Linked DNA regions of Nothobranchius furzeri. The protein of the gene in region 1 binds, or shares a complex with, the protein of each later gene. Links are inferred from orthologs where the notes say so. Each region holds a gene or a part of one and is shown in the gene's direction. Other genes may lie near its edges.

The links. The genes of interacting proteins can lie anywhere in the genome.
Region 2: the proteins of egln1a (region 1) and epas1b are in contact, whole or in part, in a crystal structure (PDB 7Q5X), measured with the Homo sapiens proteins. The link is inferred for Nothobranchius furzeri from reciprocal best matches to the Homo sapiens genes EGLN1 and EPAS1. Residues at the interface, in NP_071334.1 of Homo sapiens: Gln239, Leu240, Val241, Ser242, Lys244, Ile251, Arg252, Trp258, Asp277, Ile280, Arg281, Ile292, Asn293, Gly294, Arg295, Thr296, Lys297, Tyr310, Val311, Arg312, His313, Val314, Asp315, Pro317, Asn318, Asp320, Arg322, Arg370, Trp389, Tyr390; in NP_001421.2 of Homo sapiens: Asp525, Leu526, Glu527, Thr528, Leu529, Ala530, Pro531, Tyr532, Ile533, Pro534, Met535, Asp536, Gly537, Glu538, Asp539, Phe540, Gln541, Leu542.
Region 3: the proteins of egln1a (region 1) and hif1aa are in contact, whole or in part, in a crystal structure (PDB 3HQR), measured with the Homo sapiens proteins. The link is inferred for Nothobranchius furzeri from reciprocal best matches to the Homo sapiens genes EGLN1 and HIF1A. Residues at the interface, in NP_071334.1 of Homo sapiens: Gln239, Leu240, Val241, Ser242, Gln243, Lys244, Ile251, Arg252, Trp258, Lys262, Asp277, Ile280, Arg281, Ile292, Asn293, Gly294, Arg295, Thr296, Lys297, Tyr310, Val311, Arg312, His313, Val314, Asp315, Pro317, Asn318, Asp320, Arg322, Arg370; in NP_001521.1 of Homo sapiens: Leu559, Glu560, Met561, Leu562, Ala563, Pro564, Tyr565, Ile566, Pro567, Met568, Asp570, Asp571, Phe572, Gln573, Leu574.

The regions. Positions count from the first base shown.
Region 1 is NC_091752.1:2,296,032-2,300,304, reverse strand, and holds the start of egln1a (egl nine homolog 1), read left to right. Parts: upstream 1-1,473; 5' UTR 1,474-1,920; coding exon 1,921-2,625; intron 2,626-4,273. UniProt on the Homo sapiens protein: Cellular oxygen sensor that catalyzes, under normoxic conditions, the post-translational formation of 4-hydroxyproline in hypoxia-inducible factor (HIF) alpha proteins.
Region 2 is NC_091752.1:43,855,479-43,858,978, forward strand, and holds part of epas1b (endothelial PAS domain-containing protein 1b), read left to right. Parts: coding exon 1-111; intron 112-193; coding exon 194-402; intron 403-506; coding exon 507-727; intron 728-938; coding exon 939-1,049; intron 1,050-2,822; coding exon 2,823-3,322; intron 3,323-3,413; coding exon 3,414-3,500.
Region 3 is NC_091758.1:31,049,934-31,053,433, reverse strand, and holds part of hif1aa (hypoxia inducible factor 1 subunit alpha a), read left to right. Parts: intron 1-1,731; coding exon 1,732-1,922; intron 1,923-2,209; coding exon 2,210-2,361; intron 2,362-2,485; coding exon 2,486-2,570; intron 2,571-3,100; coding exon 3,101-3,210; intron 3,211-3,334; coding exon 3,335-3,500.

The DNA.
Region 1 (4,273 bases):
TCCATGTAAGGCCCTATAGACCAGAACCAGGATCTTGAAATGAACCCTGAAGTTGACTGGCAGCCAGTGAAGCTGGAGGAGAAACGGGGTGATGTGGGTGTGTTTGGAGGACTTGGTCAGAAGCCGAGCACAGGCGTTCTGAACCACCTGTAGACGGTTCAGGGAGGTTCTGCTCAGACACGTGAAAAGAGAGTTACAGTAGTCTAAGCTGGGGCAGCAGTAGCTCAGGTGGTAGAGCGGGTTGCCTCATGATCGGAGGGTCATGGGCTCGATTCCAGCTCTCGCCAGGGGTATCCTGCTGTTGTGTCCTTGGGCAAGACACTTCACCCAACTTGCCTGTGTTAGTGGTGGTCAGAGGGGCCGACGGCGCCAAATGTCAGGCCTCCCCAGGGCGGCTGTGGCTACAAGTAGCTTACCATCACTAGCAGTGTGTGAAAGCGTCTTTGGGTGTCTAGAAAAGCGCTATATAAGTTCAATGCATTATTATTATTATTATTATTATTATTATTAAGCGTGAGGAGAACAGTCTCAAGATCAGATCAGGACAGAATGGGCTTAGCAATGTTTCTGAGATGGAAGAAGGAAGAGCGAACAAGAGAACTGACATGAGAAACCACGGTGAGAGCTGGGTCAAAGGTCACACCAAGATTCCTGACCAGGTTTGGTGTGAGAAGCAAGCTCACCAAGAGCATCACTGAAGAAGTTTATCTGGGCACAGAGGTATGATCTCGGTCTTGTCTTCATTCACCTCTAGAAAGTTCCCAGTCATACATTTTTTCATTGAGTCTAACAAAGTCTAACTAACAAAGCATGCAGCAGCTGCTGCTTCCATATGGAGATGTACAGTTGAATGTCATCTGCGAAAAGATGGCAGCAGATTCCTTTAAAAGAGCTCAGGATGTGGATGTGAGCCTTGTGGGACACCATGGGCAAAGGAGGTGGAGGAGGGCTGAAACCTGGAAACGGCCACAGAAATAGAAATTATGAGATAGTATCTCACAATAGCATCTCATAATTATAAGATCTGTTTTTTTTAAACAGAGTAGCAGGAATGGGCTTATTTTTGCTCATTTTAAATATATTTTTAAACATTTTCTAAATGCTTTTTTATATTTTTACATTTTTTTATTTTTTGTTTTTGTGAAGCGCCTCGTGATTTTTATCTTGAGAGGCGCTATAGAAATGATACTTTCTTCTTCTTCTTCCAAACGTGCTTTCTCTGTACTTTGAAGCGTTTCATGTTCAGTCTGTTGGTCATCTGTGTATACATGGAGATACGATGTCTGGGGTTCTCCAGTGTTTCAGAAATCCACCCTTCTTCATGAGGAATAAATTGTTATATTTCAAGTAATGTTTCCGAATCCAAGGGTAGGAAGCTTGTGAGTACACATCGAGGCCGGTTACGTCATAGCAAAGAGACGAATGCTGTCCGAAAAGGAATGATACTTATATATTTTAATAGTTCACTTCAGCAGTGAACCAAAATGTGTCAAATACCCTCCACGTGTCCCGGCCCTGGTGTGTATTTCATTTGACCCACAACTCCTGAAGGCAACGCGGGGGCGGGGTTTGAGCTCTGACGTCAACGAGAGCCACGGACAAACAGCACGCACACAGAGCGGCGCCATGCAGTAGACCGATCCCGACAGCTAGCCTGTCGAAATGCCTCCCGAAGCCCTCGAGCCGACCCGCGGCTGAATGCTTGTCCACGGGCGCACACTGTGGCGTTACTTCACCGTTCGAACATGCGGAACCGGGACAAGACCGACAAAATGGCGAGCGTTTGAGTTTAGTTCGACCGTTTCGCTCGGCGTAGCGAGACAGAGGCAGTGGCTCTTTCCCCAAAGTAAGTAGACGGTTAGCAGGGCGCGTGTGAAGGATCGAAATTAAAGGAGCAGTACAACCGCTGCAGCTCTCGTAATGGAAAAGCAGCAGAGCGATTTGGACCGAGACCGACAGTATTGTGAACTTTGTGGGGAGATGGAGAACCTCCTTAAGTGTGGAAGGTGCCGAAGCTCCTTCTACTGTAGCAAGGAGCACCAGAAACAGGACTGGAAGAAGCACAAGCTCATTTGTAAGGTGGCGGACAAGTCCCTGATTTCCAAACAGATACCCGGACACACTCCTCCGTCGGGAGAGGACGGGGGACCGGATAAAACCAGCACGGAGAATGTCCCCGATCAGTCGAACTCCCCGTCTTCACCACCAGCCCCAGACACAGAAGCACCTGCAGCCGGGTATCGAGCGGGAGAGGTGGGATCTAACGGCCCCGCCACACCTAACGGACAAACCAGCCTGTCCCCTCAGAGACTCGCCGTGGAGATCATAGTACCGTGCATGAACAAGCACGGCATCTGCGTCGTGAACGACTTTTTAGGAGAAAAGACCGGGCTGAGCGTTCTGGAGAATGTCAAGGCCTTGTACAAAAAGGGTAAATTCACAGATGGACAGCTGGTCAGTCAAAAGAGCGACTCTCCTAAAGACATCAGGGGGGACAAAATCACGTGGATAGAGGGGGGAGAGGACGGCTGCGAGAAGATCAAGTTCCTCATGGGTCGCATGGACGACCTAATCAGACATTGTAATGGCAAACTGGGGAACTACACTATAAATGGAAGGACAAAGGTAAGTATTGCAGCATGTCCAGGTAGAAGACTGTCAATCAGAAGTGTTGTCCCTCAGAGAAACTCCTATTGTTCAGTAATACATCAGTCACTACATAAAACCTACTTTAAGTCAGCAAATGCATATGAGTGGAGGTAAGCTGCCTCCAGGGGAAAGCATGGCTAATGCCCCGAGTCAGGTGGATTATTCCACCCAGCACATGGATGCAAAACACAGAAATGCCTCCCACCAACAGAAATAAGCTGCTGAAGGCCAACCATGACCACTGTGATTCCCCACTGTGCAGCTTTAAGCAATCTAAATTAAACTTTTTAAAATGACTCAATCTAAAAAGTGTTTTGGCAGAATAAAACAAGATGTACGAGGCAAGTAAGCTTGCTAGCATAAAGTCAGATCAAAGTGTGCACGTTCTTAAATATCAGAGTAAAACTAATCCAAATGGCAACAGCTTTGCATGAAAGGCGCTATTAAAAAAAGAACTCAACTGTACTGAATGTTAAGTTTTCCCACCGAGGGACAAGTAAGACGCAATTAATGAACTCCTGATTGGATTAAAGCAGCATGCAAGGTTTGCATGCACACAGCACATTTTTATATCATGGATCATTCAAAAGAAAGCCAAATTTTCTTATTGCATTAAACATAATTACAATTACAACTTAAATTATGGCTGTGCAATTTGTCAGATCGGTGTTTTCATTCCAACAGTCACAAAAACAATGTAATGAAGGAAATCAATGATTATTTTTGTCTCTTCCGTCCCTTACAAAGCCTAAACTCATGCATCTTGTCAAGTTTTAAAAAGTTGTCCCAAGAAGGTAATTAAACTATGTCTGCATGAATATGTAGTTAATGTCTCACAAATATAGCTTTCTTTGGTCTCTTTCCTCAGAAGGCCGGGTTTTTACAGTCATCCTGTTGCTTTCTGCAAAAATCAGGATGTTACTGAAATATTTCTAAATGGGTATGACATCTATGGCAGTCTGTCTTGCTGTTAGGCCAATAATGATTTTTATTTCACGATTTTACTATGGTGGAGCGGTTTATGGCACAGTAAGGAGGTTGTAGGTTCGAATCCCCTTCTGTGCTGAGTTAGAATGTTCTTGGTTTTGTTCAACTCATTAAGTACATAATTGTGATCTCAATATTGACCAAAACAGCCGTGATTTTTTTTTTATATAATCGAGCATCCCTGTCATCGGCCATGATGTACATAACTGTGTATTTGTTTTAATTCACTTCTTTTTCTTGTGTCCGTCACAAAGAAACTTATTTAAGCAGCATTTACGATCAATGCAAATGGCTACAATTTTATTTTTGCACAACCACTGTGACTGTTAAAAGAGCTGTTTAGTAAAATATTTGCATATCACAGCATGATGGGCATGTTTTCAGTAGACAAGAAGAAGTAGCCTAGAAAATTCCACCAGATCATCAGTTTCAAATATTCGCTGATCCATTCATGCAAATGTAGTAGATTTTTATGTCTCTAGGACAGTAGCACAAGTGACTATGCTGAACGTTGATCCATTTGGAAAACAGCCCCCTGAAGTCGGATAGACATGTGGATCATTAACAGGGACCCAGAGTGACGCAGCACTGGCCAGGTGGCTGGCTGAATACTTCAGTTCACTAACAACACACGCGT
Region 2 (3,500 bases), about 42 Mb from region 1:
CATGCTGGCAAAGAGCGGGGGTTATGTCTGGGTGGAGACTCAGGGAACCGTCATTTACAACAGCCGAAACTCTCAGCCGCAGTGTGTCATGTGCATCAACTATGTCCTCAGGTGAGTGCTGCTCAGCCAAGATCAAAAGACAAACGTTTTCCCTATGTTTCATCCACCTTGTCATGTTTCCACCGTCCCTTAGTGACGTGGAGGAGAAGTCTGTGATTTTCTCCTTGGAGCAGATGGAGGCACTGTTCAAGCCTCAACACATGAGCAGCTTCTTCACTCCAGAGGGAGTGGGCATGAATGGAGAGCCAGGAGATTCCCTCTTCACCTCAATGAAAGAGGAGCCCGAGGACCTGGCTCAGCTGGCTCCAACACCTGGAGACACTATCATCTCCCTGGACTTCGGTCAGTTTGACCTCTGACTTCTTCTCTGCCTGTTTAACGGAATTTCGTGTTTACAAATGTGCGTTAAAGATTGAATTAAAAATATTTTCACTTATTTCTCTCAGGTCGCCCTCAGTTTGAGGAGTCCCAACAGCCAGCTGCGTACACCCCGGTTTCGTCTTCATCCATGCCTCCTCCGGGACCGTCATCCTGGCCGAGCGAGAGCCACAAACCTGCTCGAGCCCAAACTCCGTCAGGAGATGTGGCTAACAAGGCCGGTCCTTTCACCATGCAGCAGAACCGTCCTCCGGGCAGCGCCACTCCAAGCCTTAGCAGTTGCTCCACGGTGAGGATGTCTCACCATTAATTAGTCAGCTTCTGGTCGATTGTGTTTGCTCTCTCTGTGTTCAGCGAGGTCAGCGAAAGTGGGCAGAGTGTGTGAGAATATCGGGGGTGGAGGATTGGATGGAGCAGGCCGTTAGCTCTGAATGGTGTCTTTGTGTCGTTCTGTCTTTCCTCTCACATTTAGACCTTTTGTCTCCGATGTTGTCTTGCAGCCCAGCAGCCCAGGTGATTACTACGGCCCAGTGGAGAGCGATCTGAGGATAGAGCTCACTGAGAAGCTCTTTGCTCTGGACACAGAGGGGAACAACTCAGCAAGCACTGAGGTGGGACACAGTACTTACTCACACCTTCACATGTATGCAGACCATGTTCCTTTAATCTACCAGAGAATTATAAGATGATTTAATTCTTGTTGTGTTATGTTAGAAAATTGTGATGTGTGAGTTGTAAAATGAGTCTGGCTGAATGTTTAATGAGGTTTAACAAGTTATCAAATTAGTAATAAAACCATCCTGATGCCAGGTGAGAGACTACGATTACCCTTGTGATGAAAGTTCTTGGTAGGTCCAGCTGGCTAGGAAGTCTAGTCGGCTTGCTGCCAGGAGGAGTTGACTTCTGGAATGTTAAAGGTTGCAGCTACCTAACCCTAACCCTGTCCTTCCAGTGAGCTTTGCAGATGTGGGAAAATGTCATCAGGCAGTAATCATTGTTAAATTCATAATTATTCTCGGAGAGAGACCAACTCTTATCTGCCCCTGGGAGCCCCGTAATGCATAGCGTCATTTCAACATGGGGGTGTCCGCGGCACGGTTTATATGCAGGTAGCGGTGCTGCGGCTGCTTTATATAGCGACTCGTTGCATTCTCCCTCAACCCAAATCCTCGGATCACGCATTTCAGCTAAAACGCTAACGTTAGCTTGCCTTGCGTTGACTGTAGAGTTGTGGGTGATGGTCACGCAGATGTGTCATGAGATTTGAAGCGTTGCTGCCTTTCACAGACACTTTTTCTGCACGTGCTGCAAACAGGATGGCCGTCTTCTATCAACTGTCCCTCGGCATTCTTCAAATATCTAAAAGATGCCCGTACTTCCCACTTTGTCTTCTTTGAGGGATAAAAATGTCCTCCTGAGCGCTGCCGTCTCCTCCTTTGGCCATTATTTCAGCTTTAGCTTCAAGAAAGTTTTGGTTGTAAACAACAAAGTGCGCGTGTGCCGCCGGCAACTTCAGCAGATGATACGGTGGCTGGTAAGGGTCACCGCGCCTACACAGCAGCCACGGTAACCCACCGAGATAATATAGTTTTTAAAAAACAAGACGGTTATTATTGTCAACTTTTTTACCGGGGTTTACCGCTACACCAGTTACCGTGACAACCTAATCTACGTTACAGCATCAAAAACAAAAAATGGTTTCCGGTCTAAGCCCTGGGCAGCTGGTGATGTCTCACAAGGAGTTTTGCTCAAATAGCGAGTGTAAACAACCCCCGACTCTGATGTTTCTGCTTTAGCCTTGTAGCTCGATGTGTCATCGGTCAGATGTAGCTTCTGAAGCCTCTGCTAGACGGTCAGATTTGTTTTTTTCTCTGGGATACAGCGACGAGAACAGATATCTGGTTACTGTAGAAGATCTACCGAACTCTGACACCGCTAGCTGGATGGCTGGAGGAGCTGACATGTTTGAGACAGTTTGACTCAGAAGACATGCGACCCGATTTGGACACCGGAGAGGATTCTGTTTGTCTTCAGAATCAAAATCAGTACAGCTTGTTAACGTTTACTGAATATTTAATTTCTGTGCTTGTAGTGCTCCTACCAGGAGCTCTCAGCTAGTCTCTGCTCTATCATACTGTCCCAAATTAATTCAGTAATAATAAATGGATGTACAGTACGTTTAGTTTTATATTTGCAGACTAGTCAGGTTTTCACATATATACTCCATTTGTGGTCTTCCTATGTGTGCTGACTGGACTGGCTCATTTTATCATTTATAGTTTAACATAATGCTGTCGTTGCTCACTGACACAGATGTCAAACACATTTCATGTAAAAATGAGAACAATATTCACCACCGATCTGTCCTGGTTCCTCTCCTCCAGGCGGACTTGAGCGACTTGGACCTGGAGACTTTGGCTCCTTACATCCCCATGGATGGCGAGGACTTCCAGCTGACTCCCATCATTCCAGAACTCGAGCCCCTGAAGGTGGCTCAGGCCGGCTCTGTGGGCAACATCAGCAACCTGAACATGCAGCAGAGCTTCAGTAACATCACCAGCCTCTTCCAGCCGCTGACCTCCCCTTCCCAGCCTCAAAATCACTTCCTCCCACAGCCAAAGGTGTCTTGGGCCACTGGGGAGAGGAGAGGCTCTGGCCAGGGGGTTGTGGACACCAGATCCAGGTCCTACATGATGAAACACTTGCAGAATCTCCCGAATCTGGCCCCAGCCAGCACGCCTCTATCTTCGATGCAATGGCCTCCGGACCCGTTAATAACTTACCGACACGAACGGCCTCCTAAAGCCTACCCAATGGATAGTTTGTCTGAAGAGGAACGTCCATCCTGCCAGCAGAACGTCCCACATCTAATGCAAAAGCAGAGGTGATGATATAAAACAGCAGTAAATATTCATTAAAATATCTTAATAGAAATGTTTACTTGTGTTGTATAATTTATTATTGTATTTTTCTAGGTCTATTGACGATTTTATCCAGGCTTACAAAGATGTGAGTCCTGCCAGAGTGGCCATGGCCAACAGCATCAAGCGCTCCTTCAACCA
Region 3 (3,500 bases), on another chromosome or scaffold:
ATAACTTTGTAGCTTCCCAATTGTAAATGGAACTTAATAGCAGCAACACTGAGTGTTTTTCTGTTTGTGTGTTCATGTCACCGAATAGAAATTTTGACCCACATGCTTTTCGCTAGATTAAATCAGCACCTAGCCTATTTCCCGAGGGACGGTGATTCGGCTCAGCATTGAAAATCTTCCAGCCGCAGAGGACCAATTAGCTTTATCGTGGATCGGTTTGTGCATCACGTGTGTGTAATGGAAAGCTTTCGTGTGAAACACAGCCTGCCTGTTAACTAAAATTAGCCTCCTGCAAATTACATTATCTGGTCTATTTTCTGGCAAAAACAAAAGGGCCTTATTCAGTGCTGTAAGTGCGTGCCAGATCAATTTCAATCAGGTGTGCATTTCATAGCTGTGGGTTTTTAAGCTGTTCATTTGGTCGTCTGGCTGCTCACATGTCATCTAAATGTATTTCAACTTACTGAGGTGCAGTTTGCAACAAAGATTGGTGATATAAATTTATGGCATATGAATGGGAGATGAAATCTGTTTTTTGAGGCATCGCGGTTTTTCTAAATCGATTTTGTTTATGTTTATTTACCGCAATGTTGAGCAACATAAGGTGGAACAGGAAGTACAGCACAGACTTTAAAAAAATTTTTTTATAAGCACATAATGGAGGCACAATTTGCAGTGGCGTGTCCAGGCCTTTTAAAATGGGTGGCTCCAGTGGGGCACTAATTTATGCATGGGTGGCACCTATAGTTATACTTTTTGTTTTGATCTGCGGGGTTGTCACCCCTCACAAAATAATACATTTTTGCATTATTCTTCAACTTCTTGTTTTGAGGTGGTTAGCAAGCCACTTCTTGGTGCATTACCGCCATCTACTGGAGTGAGTTTGGACCAGGACTATGAATACTATTTTTGTCAATATGAAAACAATAATTAATAATACACAAATGTTCTGTAGGCCTGTGACTAGAAACTAATGTTAAAAGTCCATACTGTCGACTACTGTTTTAGGGGTTAACCCTTATTTTTTTGTGGACAACTTAATGTCAATTTAAGTGGAACTCATTGGGGTGGCCAGTCAGATTCCAAGAGTGGCAAATGCTGCTCCAGACCACTCACTGGACACGCCATTGACAATGAGCAATAAAAAGAGTGAACAAGTGAACATTTTAAACATGGCCGCCGAGCGAGACCAGTGTTGTGTCAAAAGGCCTTCCTTCTCCAAATATCGTCTGTTTTTCTTTTGTTTTTGATTCTGAATCAAGACAACAGCAAACATCATTCAAAATAATATTAAACCCACAACCATTTTTTGAATGAAAGCGGCCATTTGATGCACCCCTTCTTGTTCTTACCTTGAATCTAACAATTTTGTCTCATTAAGTTTTTATAGTGTAGTGATTTCAGTCACTTGAAGAATCAATAGCCCTGCTTTGATTCAGCGGTGGTCACATTAGCCGAAATGGCACTGTAAAATGTCTGAATCAGTGTGTGGGATGGGGGTGGGGGGATGGCTGAGCTCTGACTCTTTCCTGTGTAGTCATTTGAGTGGGCGAGTCCTATTTCGTTTGTTCAGCAGCCAATAGGACGCTTGCATTGCACTGGCTGGGCTGAGACAGCCTGTTGAATGCTCCAGCTGCGCTGGCCTCTGCAGACATGTTTCAGTTTTGGGAAAAGGGATTTTTACGTTTAACAAACCCAGCATGAGGCTGATCCACCTCCTGTCTCCTGCAGGGTGAGCTCGGAGCGCAGGAAGGAGAAATCAAGGGATGCAGCAAGATGCCGCCGTGGGAAGGAGTCGGAGGTGTTCTATGAGCTGGCCAAGCAGCTGCCTCTCCCCCACAGCACCAGCTCAAGCCTGGACAAGGCCTCCATCATGAGGCTGACCATCAGCTACCTGCGCATGAGGAACCTTCTCTGCAGTGGTCAGCATCTGTAGCGACAGATGATTATAAACCATTCCACTGCTCTGTTAACCATGTACCTGCAGTATGCTTGTCATATTTGTTATCTTGTTGACTTCAGAGTAATTCACTTCATTTACATGTAGCCTATAGTGGAAAACACAAAGGAGGTACTGCGTATTCTGCCATAATCTCTCTGCAGAAACACCTGGGGCTAGAGGAGTGGTTTTTCTGTGTCTGCAGCTGTTTGAACCGGTTATTTGTCCTTTAGCTTATCACCCACCTTGCTCCCTCTCTCAATGCTCCAGATAAGCCAATGGAAGAGGGGGAAACTGAGCTTGATGTTCAGCTGAACGGGTCCTACCTGAAGGCGTTGGAGGGCTTCCTCATGGTGCTGTCTGAAGACGGCGATATGATTTATCTCTCGGAGAATGTCAGCAAGTGTCTTGGGCTGGCGCAGGTGGGTCTGAAGCAGGGAATTAAAAAATAAGTGCACATTTTTAAGCTTTAAATGAATACTTCTTGGTAGCTCTATTTATATATTTGTGTTTTAAAAGTATATTTCTGTTTGTTTGCCTTTGCAGTTTGACCTGACTGGCCACAGTGTGTTTGACTTCACACATCCCTGCGACCAGGAGGAGCTGAGAGAGATGCTCCTCTGTAGAACAGGTGAGCAGTGTTGCACTGAAGAGTACAAATGTGTAGAGAAACCGAGACGCGCACACACAGAGCTCTCTGTCGGGTGTGTTGGTGCTCCAGATGGTAGAAAGTCCAACTCACTCTGTGGTCAGCTCTGCTTAGTAACGACACAAAAATCCACTCCGGTTTTGAGCAGTGGCTGAGTAATCTTCCGACCTTTTAATCATCAATAACAGATCTTTGCTTTGCTTCTCGTTAGTGAGATAAGTTTTGCTGAATCTTCTCTCTGCTTCGGTTCACTCTTACATTTAGGACCTGTGTTTTTTGTTATTTCTTTGCTCACTGATACCGCCTCGGCTCTAACTGCTGGTAGCTATTTCCATTTTATCCTCTAGCTCACCACAAGGCCACAGCATCAGAGCAAATGTCTCCTTTTGATGCAAATTTTATCAGTTGGCAGTTTGTAGATTGTTGAGTTGGGACCAATAAAAAAGAGCAATCTACTGCTGGCTTACTCTGCCTCACTCTGGATTCATATCTGTTTAATTTTGTGATTCCAGGCTCCAAAAAAAGCAAGGAACCAAATAATGAACGGAATTTCTTTCTGAGGATGAAATGCACCCTCACAAGCAGAGGTCGCACGGTTAATGTCAAGTCGGCTACATGGAAGGTAAAGAAGTGTTGAAGCTGTGGAGCATCTCGGGCTCCTAAATTAAAAAAGTTACTTAAAGTAAAAAATAATAATTACAGAAAGATTAAAGTTTCCCTCTTGGTTTGAAAACGTGTTTCTGTAGGTCCTTCACTGCTCGGGTCACATGTGTGTTCATGACCATCGAGCAGAGCAGATGGAGCCACTGCTCCCCTACCTGGTTCTGATCTGTGACCCCATCCCCCACCCTTCCAACATCGAGGTCCCTCTGGACACCAAGACGTTCCTCAGCCGCCACACCATGGACATGA